2 linked regions of the Oryctolagus cuniculus genome follow. Each later gene encodes a partner of the first gene's protein in a complex. Links are inferred from orthologs where the notes say so. Each region holds a gene or a part of one and is shown on either strand. Other genes may lie near its edges. The genes, in order: STRN3 and PDCD10.

Region 1 (4,376 bases):
ACTATCACAGGGTACACAGTTGCTAAGAGAGGCTCAGCAAGGCAGGGGTACTCCATGCAGCATGGTGGTACTCCTGAACTTTCTGTGATAGGAGCCACATCTCCCCCAAGGAATAGGACTGAATAAAGAGGTTCTATCCCGTCACTTTAAAATGAAAACAATTGTATTTAATAATATGGACAAATAGTTCTTAATATTACTACAATCTAAGATCTCACTTTATGCATATATAAAATATGGCAGCATGGGTAGTTACGTCTAAGCTGTTTTCCATTAAACTATAGTAACAAGGCAAATGATCTACCACTTTATCTCTTTGAAATCGCAAGCCAAATGGTGCATCCCATAGTGAAACTTTTGTTAGTTTTTTACAAGAAAAAACATTTTAGAGATGCAACTAATTGTACACCCAGTTTCCCTGTATGACTGTAATTACTGACCCTCTTTTCTTTATATGCTGTTAGAGTATCTTTGTCCTTTTTTCAACAAACGATCACTAGCTGTATTAACGATTGGAAAGTTACTAGTTCGTTAGGATATTTCCTGGGAAACTAAGCACGTAAAAATTACACGACTGTCCTTATACACACTTACCTTTTATGTGTATATTATATTCATTCAAACATTTAATGACCCAGGAAAACATCTTTAGCCGTCCACCCAGGATTTTAAACTATATTCATGCTGCTTTTATCTTCTATTTAGATCAAAAGATTCTATCATTAATGAAAGTTCTTGCGAGCTCATTCAGTTCTAAAACGTAACCCATCTCCTTCAAAGTTATCTTTTCCTTTCTAGTCACCATCGTCAAAATCCAAAGGATCTCACTACCTCCTCTTCTCCCAAGGGGGGAAAAAAAGAAAGAAAACGACCGTTTCCAGCTCCCCTCCCCACCCGCTGAAACACGCCCGTCCCAGGATGGGAGGCAAAGTGTAACAGGTCGGCAGGCGACCCGGCGCCCAGAAGCGGGACCGACTCGGGCAGCCAGTCACCACGGCCGCGAAGATCCGGGCGATCTGCCAGAAAGAGAACGTCCCCCAATCCCGGGAACTGACTGGCGCTCAGAAACCGGAGACAGAGCGAGTGACAGGCAGAGAAAGAGCCCCAACCCTGTGGGACCGCCTGAAACACGCAAAGAATGCAACAGAAACGTCAGGAATTCAGGGTGGGCAGCAACCGGCCAGAGCGATCAACCAAGTTCAAACCCAGCTCCGAAGGCAGGCACATGGCTGAGACCCTCGGGCTGGGTAACGGCTCCCGGGCTCGGTCTACGAACAGGAAACTGACAGTCTCTCGTTCAAGGCCCAACTGGCTCCCAAAAGTGGGAGCTGGAGCCCCAGCTTTGCGGTAACCCGCGTCGGGACACTCGGCACGGGTCTGAGGGCGGGCCTGGGGGAGGAGCCGCGCTCCTTCCCCGCCCCCTAACAGCCGCCTCTCCGCGGCCGGACGGCGTCCTCAGTGCGCCTGCGTAGGGTGAGGCCGCACTCTATTTGGCCATTAAGCGTGCGGCGGCAGCGGCGTTCTATACCCGGCATGCCGTGCGGGAGCGGCGATCCTACGTCGATCCCTTTTCCAACCCTGCCTCCTTTCCCCCCGCCCGCCGCGGCCCCCCCTTCCCCTAAAGTGAGTGAGTGAGACCGGCAGATGGAGGAGGGACTGTAATGGCGGCGGCCGGCAGCTCCCTGCTCTGACCCACGGCAGGCACACAGCAACGACCCCCTCCCCGCCCCTCTCCCGGCGGCCTCCGCCCCGCCGCCAGCGCGGTGCCACCCTCTCCGGCCCTTCCCCCGGCAGTCGGCGTCTCGCCCTGTGCCCCGGCCGGGGCCCCTCACACAATGGACGAGCTTGCCGGAGGCGGTGGTGGAGGCCCGGGGATGGCGGCCCCTCCCCGGCAGCAGCAGGGACCTGGGGGGAACCTGAGCCTCTCGCCGGGAGGGAATGGAGCGGCGGGCGGCGGGGGTCCAACGGCCTCGGAGGGAGCGGGTCCCGCGGCAGGCCCCGAGCTGTCCCGGCCGCAGCAGTACACTATCCCGGGGATCCTGCACTACATCCAGCACGAGTGGGCTCGGTTCGAGATGGAGCGAGCGCACTGGGAGGTGGAGCGGGCCGAACTGCAGGTACCTCGCTGGGGTCGGTGTGCGGGACGGCGGCGGCGGCGGCGGGGATCCCGGCCGGGGGGTGGGGCCGGGGCTCTCCTCCGCCGGCGCCCGCGACTTGGGAGGCCGGGAGGCACCTACCTGTGCGGCTCGGGGGTGCTGGTCCTGGCGTCGGCTCTTCCTAGGTCCCCCTCCCCCTTTCCCGCAGAAGCCCGTTCCCCAACCCTCACTTAGCTACGCGGTACGGGCTCGCTCGGGGCAGCCATTTTGGCTTTTAGTATGGCGTCTGCGGGGGCTCCTCCGGAGGCGGCCTGCCCGGGCCTCCGGGACTTGAGGCCGATCTCCTCTGTGCCGGAGAGTCCGGCGTGGGGCCTCTGGACCCCGAGTTTGCTCTTGTTTGTTCCTCTTGAGGTTGCGACCCCGAGGAGAGGGCCGGGGTGAGCATCTTCCCACCTTTTTCCGGACACCCCCACCCCTTCCCATTTGACTTGGGTGGCCCCTTCCCGCGACTTGGTGGGCACTTGCCCCTTGACAGGCACGCTTCTTCCTCGGACTGCCGCCAAGCACAGTGGCTGGCGGCTGACCTGTGAAGTTTCCGTTTCCCACCGTCTACTCCTCAGTACTTTCTTACCTGGGATGCTGCTTTACTCTCCCTTGGCTTCTCTGTAGTTCTTCCTTACTTAGTGACTCATCAACGCTTTGAACACCGGACTTGACTTTTCAGAGTACCTTTCGCTAGACCTCCCCCTCTCAGCCCCGAGATGACCGCTAGAAAGCCAAACCAAACTAAGCTGCTGGATTTCGGAAACGGCTGAGAAGACTGAACATTTTTACTTGAAGTAAAGCGTACTTCTCTGACATTACTGACTCATGCAGGAGAAGCCGGCTTAAATGTCCTGAGGATCCTTCCTCTTACTGTGACCCTTGGATAGTCCGCGTTATCTAGCTTTTGGAAGATACTGGTAGCTGGGGGCTCCTGTCTTGCCTTTCAAAATTGTTGCACGTTTTTGAAAGGGTTATTTAACTTTTTTTTTTTTTTTTTTTTTTTTTTTTTTTTGACAGGCAGAGTGGACAGTGAGAGAGACAGAGAGAGAAAGGTCTTCCTTTGCCGCTGGTTCACCCTCCAATGGCCGCCGCTGCAGCCGGCGCACCGCGCTGATCCTGGCAGGAGCCAGGAGCCAGGTGCTTTTCCTGGTCTCCCATGGGGTGCAGGGCCCAAGCACCTGGGCCATCCTCCACTGCACTCCCTGGCCATAGCAGAGAGCTGGCCTGGAAGAGGGGCAACCGGGACAGAATCCGGCGCCCCAACCGGGACTAGAACCCGGTGTGCCGGCGCCGCAAGGTGGAGGATTAGCCTATTGAGCCACGGCGCCGGCTTAACTTTTTTGAATAGTTGTGTTTAAGCCCCTTTCTAGGGCAGATTTAGGTCTAGAGGAAAAACATGTATCTAAATAGTGTTGCACCTGTTCTTCAGGCTGTTAATATATTTAGGATGCAAGCGGTGTTGTGCCTCGTCATATATGCCTATGGTGCATATAGTTAGGAAAACAGTGTTGAAGGAAGATTGGATTACATAGAAAGGGTGTCCTCAAACAAATGTGAATCTCTTCAGTTTGATTTTTGAACTAGTGAACCAATGATTCCACTAAGTGGGTGAAGTTAAACGTCTTTAAAAAGTTAAAATATTTACATATTTTGATACTTTATCAAGTTTCAAAAAATTTACAAGTTTACACCTGTTGTGTTTTAGAACTGTGCTGTGCTATACTATAGGGCTTTAAAAATACAACTTTCAAAAAGCTGAGGTCTGTGATTTCTTTTAACTTGGGTGCAGCCTTCTCTAAAATACTGAGATTTGTAGAGTTCTGTTGGTGTATAGCTACACTGTGCTGGGAACTTAATTTTCTGTGTAAGTAGAGTGAAGCTAGTAAAAACAATTATCTTAAAAAATCGCACTGAGGCTTGGACTCAACTAAATTATATGCCACTGGTCCATGATGATTTTTTGACCTTTGTTGTACACAAGCTTTGATTTTAACACTTTGCAAGTTAACAGTTGTACTTGTTACTCATAAGCTTCCTTCATGTTACGTAGCTGAGGAAAAGTTTTACTGGTATGAAGTCTATATTGCCTGCCCTAGCTCTTGTTTTTCCTTCCAGTTCTCTTCTCCTTAGCAGCAACAGAAAAGTCCTTTAAGGAAGATTGCTTTTGCTCCCTGGCTTGAAATTGATCAGCTACTAATACAGTAGTTCTGACAGCTGTTCTAAGTTTTTGCTTGT
Region 2 (4,384 bases), on another chromosome or scaffold:
GAGCAGCAATGATGTACACCATATGTTCCCACTGTAGGCTGAGTCCAGGTCTTTGTTCCAATATTCCAGAGTCGCTGGAAGGAAAGCTAAGTGCCCATCCACTAAAACACATTTTTACACTATTACTGGCAAAAGTTATACTTCCCACAGGTTCAGGGAGCACCCATCCTATCCCGCTGTTCCTGACTGCATTAGCTTAATACAGATCTCGGAATTCTACGGACCTGCATTACAACCACCTTGGATAACAGGTCCGCAGCGGACAATCTCAGCATCCAACGTACCCGCAGACGCTGAAGAAGAACGCAAAGTTATTTTCTAGGGATACAGTTCGGAAGTAATTCTGTATCAACGACGAGACGTTTGCTTTTCATCAGCTACGTACCGATCCAGAATACCGTCCACCCGGTCCTCAATCAGTAGGGGTTCCCTCAATCTTGAGACCTCCCACAACAGTTTGAATCGTGCAACTCAAACCAAAAACACCAACCACACCCTTTATACCCAGGGTCAAGCGACCTTTCTTTCTTTTTTTTTTTTTTTTCCTCCTCAAAGTCCAAAAATGTGCATCTTTCACCCGAAAGGGTTTGCCCCGGTTTTTCCAGCCGAAGGCAGACGGTCTGAGCTGTGCCCTGCTGCAACTGCTGTGCAAAGACGCTTCCTCCCGGGCAGTGTGCGGACGCCCCGGAAAACGCGCCCACGCTTACCTCCCGCACACCTGCCACCCTCGGCGGACGGCTGGAGCTGAGGCTCGAAGGGACTGCACTCCGCTCAGCTCCCGCTCCTGCTCGGGTCTCTCCCGGGAAACTACGGTCCAGGCTGCGCCTTCGGCTTCCACCGGGACCCAAGCTCCGCCTCTCCCTCCTCCAGTTGGCGAACTGGGCAGCTGTTGCTCCTCCCCCTGCTGTTCCTGCTGCTGCCGCCCGGGTCCCTGCCCGCTCCCTGCACTTTGGAAGCTGCTCCAGCCGCTTCCCTCGTACCGGGGGTCCCCCTTTCCTCCCACCCTCTCCCCGCTCTCACACCTGGACTTGTTCCCTTGCCGCGCCCTGGCGCCTCCGCAGGTAGCCCAGGCTCAGCCCATCGCTCCCCAACCTGCGGGTCTGGGGCTTGGCGGAGCTGCTTATCCCGGCCGCGGAGCGTCCCCGCACTCCCTGCACTCCAGGCTCCCTCTCTGCCCGCGCTGCAGACCCATTCCACCGGCCCCACGTTCCCTACCTCGGGCCCCCCCACCCGCTTCCGTCTTCTCCTCCGGCAGCCCGCCCCCTCCTTGGGTGAGGCGCCTACGGGGCCGACCCTGCACCCTGATTGGCGCAGGTGAGAGCCGGCCCCGCCCTTCCTCCCCTAGCCTTGCACCCTCTCTCTCCCTCTCACCTCCTCCCGCAAAGGCCGGGAACTCTCCTACTATTGGCTACGAGTGTCCCCACCCATCGCCTTAGGCTCTGCCGTATGGCCTGCCGGGAAGTGTAGTCCTAGGAGCGCAGGAATTGCAGACGACGCCGGCGAGCGAGACTACGAGTCCCCATAGGCCACTGCGCCTCTCCGGCTGGGCAGGATTCCGGACAACGCCTGGTTCCTCTCGGGTCCTTCCGGCGTCGCCGGAGTGAATTGATCCGGGAGTTGAAGAGGGCTCCAAAGGTGGGAAGTGAAGTCAGTGCCTCAGTTGCCGGTAAGGTGCGGGTGTTCTGCCCCTATCCCCGTGTCTCCGCGCGCGGTGGAAGAGGTCTGGGGTCACACAGGGGCCGGGGCTGAGGCACTCGGGCTTGGTACTGGCTGGCGGAGCGGACGGGGCTGGGAGCGGGGCCCTATGGGCGTAAGCGAGGTTACCCTACGCGAGTGGCGTAAAGCGGGTTTGTAAATGCCGCCTGCCCGCCCCGCTCGGGCCTGGACGCCTCCAGGAAGTGTGCTCTAGGTGGGGGCGGAGGGGAAGGGCGAGGTTGGCCTCTGGTTCCCCCCGAGAGGAGAGAGGGCGGATGTGCCTGGGGTGGGGTCCTCCGAAGGTGTGGCTTGGGGCGGGAGAGGTAAGGCTGCTGTTTCCCCCTTGCTTCGTAAGTGTGGCTGGGGAAGGAGGGGTTGCTTGGAAGTCTTCGCTCCGGGGTGACTGGGGTTATGCCCTTTGAAGGAAAAGGAGAACGGAGTAGGAAGAGTCAGATGTTGACAGATCGGCGGATTCTGAGTGTTTTGAGATGGGGTCCCTGAGCAGAACCGCTCGACCCTGTTGAGGGTGTGATACCCAAGATAGGTTTGTTTACGGCTGGAACTGCTTTCGAAGAGCTTTCCCGTCAGGATGCTGTTGAAGAAATTGAGGGAGTAAATGACGTGCCCAAGGTCACACAGGCAGGGACTTGGTCCTGAACAGGACAGAGATGCCGGCGGAGTCACAAAGTGCGGAGACGGGCCGTGTTTCTTGAGGAAGGTGGAGGAAGTGACACAGTAATGGTATTTTATGGATTTCTAAGAAGCTATGAGTGATTGAAGGGTGACTTTTTTTTCCCTCTCTCTCTCTCTCTCTTTTTTTTTTTTCTAAACTGGGGTGAAATTCCTCACTGAAGCACTTTCTCTGACCTTTTTGAAAAATAAAAAGGATCAGTATCAGTTACGTATTTTGTCCTTTATTGGGGCTATATTAACGATCGACTTCTCCCACAGTCCATTTTTAAAAGTAGATAGTGAAATAGGAGAAAGTCATTTAAACAGTGTATTCCATCCTTACTGTGAAAAGGATATATTCCTTTCCCTTCCTGCCTTAGGTGGTTTTTCCACTCTCATGTTGTAAAACTGAGAACAGTGGGGATGGAATTCTTTAACAAAACTTACTGTGCACTTTTTTTTTGTTTCAAATAATGCAACATTAAGGAGAGTTTAGTGTGCTCATTACTAGAAAAGAAGATAACATTGCATTTCTTGGAGGTAACATATTTTTGTGATTCATTTGCTTCTCCCCTCTTTGATTCTGTGTGTGTGTGTAAATAAAAGAATGAGGCTCTTACATATTTTAATTTTCTCAGCATCATCTGTGACTTTTTAAATTTTTTTAAAGATTTATTTTTATTTATTTGAAAGAATTACACAGAGAGGTAGAGACAGAGAGAGAGGTCTTCCATCCAACAGTTCACTCCCCAGATGGCCACAACCGCTGGAGCTGTGCTGATCTGAAGCCAGGAGCTTCCTTCAGGTCTCCCACGTGGGTGTAGGGGCCCAAGGACTTGGGCCATCTTCTACTGCTATCCCAGGCCATAGCAGAGAGCTGGATTAGAAGTGGAGCAGCTGGAACCAGAACTGGCACCCGTATGGGCTGCTGGCGCTTCAGGCCAGGGCTTTAATCTGCAGCGCTACAGTGCCAGCCCCTATCTGTGACTTTTAATTCATTCTTAGTTTGTATTAAAGAATGGAAAAGCAGGACACATTTCATATGGAGTAGAAACTAATGCACCTCTCCCAGTCTTATCTCCTGTAATTGTTACGACCCAGGACAGCTCCTCAGTATTAATACTGAATAGTTTTTTTTTTTTAATAGAAATGTGGGAATATGTTCATTGATGTCAGGATTTTTTCACATTAAGTTTATATTCATAAATAATCTATTTGCAGTTGGCAATCATCTGTCATGGTTTATTGTTATCTAAGTTGACCATTGAAATACATTGTATTTTGAACACACTATAAATATTAATATTAAATGTGTGTAATTTTTAAATGCAGCAGTATTTTCTAGGATCAAATGTATCATATTCCCATATTATGGAAGTTAAGATGGTCTGGAAATTGATACAACTTTAAAATGGAAGGAGAGGTATGATAGTATAGAATCAAGTGAAATCGAGAATAATAAGCACCATAAGCAAAATAGTGCACCTGTAAGGAAGAGTCAACCAAACAGGTGGAAAATTGTGTGGAGTTAACTGGCTTTGTGTCAAATTAGAAAGGTGAAGTAGTTTAAGTAGACCATAGATGCATTAGTAAGTGGTGGTAAGCAAGAATGTTAATACATTTTCTAGATGGCAGTGTAAATATTTGCTTTTGTTGGGCACGGTGTGAAATGAGTTCTGACTTTTGGCATGCAGCTGTGTGGTTATGAAAAGAGTTTTTGAACTAGAGAAATTTTGGAAATAAGTGAAGTTAATATAATCTACTTGTTCAGCATATATCAGTTTTTGTTCTTGGTTCAGTTTACCATGAATTTTTCTTTATCTCTGAGATTCATTTCAGTTTTGATATTTCACCTCTGCTGGAATGTCATTGGAATGTTTCTCTTACATTTATCATCTTCCGGCCACATGCTTGAGTACAGTGATCATTTGCATATTGGATAATTAAGAGAGTTCACAGAGTGATGTGTGCATCTGTGTGCACTTTACTGTTATCCACATTTGTTCTCATTTTGGGG

Evidence for each region.
Region 2: STRN3 (region 1) and PDCD10 share a complex: the UniProt entries of both Homo sapiens proteins name them as parts of the core of STRIPAK complex. The link is inferred for Oryctolagus cuniculus from reciprocal best matches to the Homo sapiens genes STRN3 and PDCD10.

Annotation. Positions count from the first base shown.
Region 1 is NC_091443.1:44,334,460-44,338,835, forward strand, and holds the start of STRN3 (striatin-3), read left to right. Parts: upstream 1-1,448; 5' UTR 1,449-1,835; coding exon 1,836-2,117; intron 2,118-2,121; exon of another isoform or gene 2,122-2,164; intron 2,165-2,237; exon of another isoform or gene 2,238-2,469; intron 2,470-2,727; exon of another isoform or gene 2,728-2,884; intron 2,885-4,376. UniProt on the Homo sapiens protein: Calmodulin-binding scaffolding protein which is the center of the striatin-interacting phosphatase and kinase (STRIPAK) complexes.
Region 2 is NC_091435.1:112,788,152-112,792,535, forward strand, and holds the start of PDCD10 (programmed cell death protein 10), read left to right. Parts: upstream 1-1,486; 5' UTR 1,487-1,666; intron 1,667-1,877; exon of another isoform or gene 1,878-2,436; intron 2,437-4,384. UniProt on the Homo sapiens protein: Promotes cell proliferation. Modulates apoptotic pathways. Increases mitogen-activated protein kinase activity and STK26 activity. Important for cell migration, and for normal structure and assembly of the Golgi complex.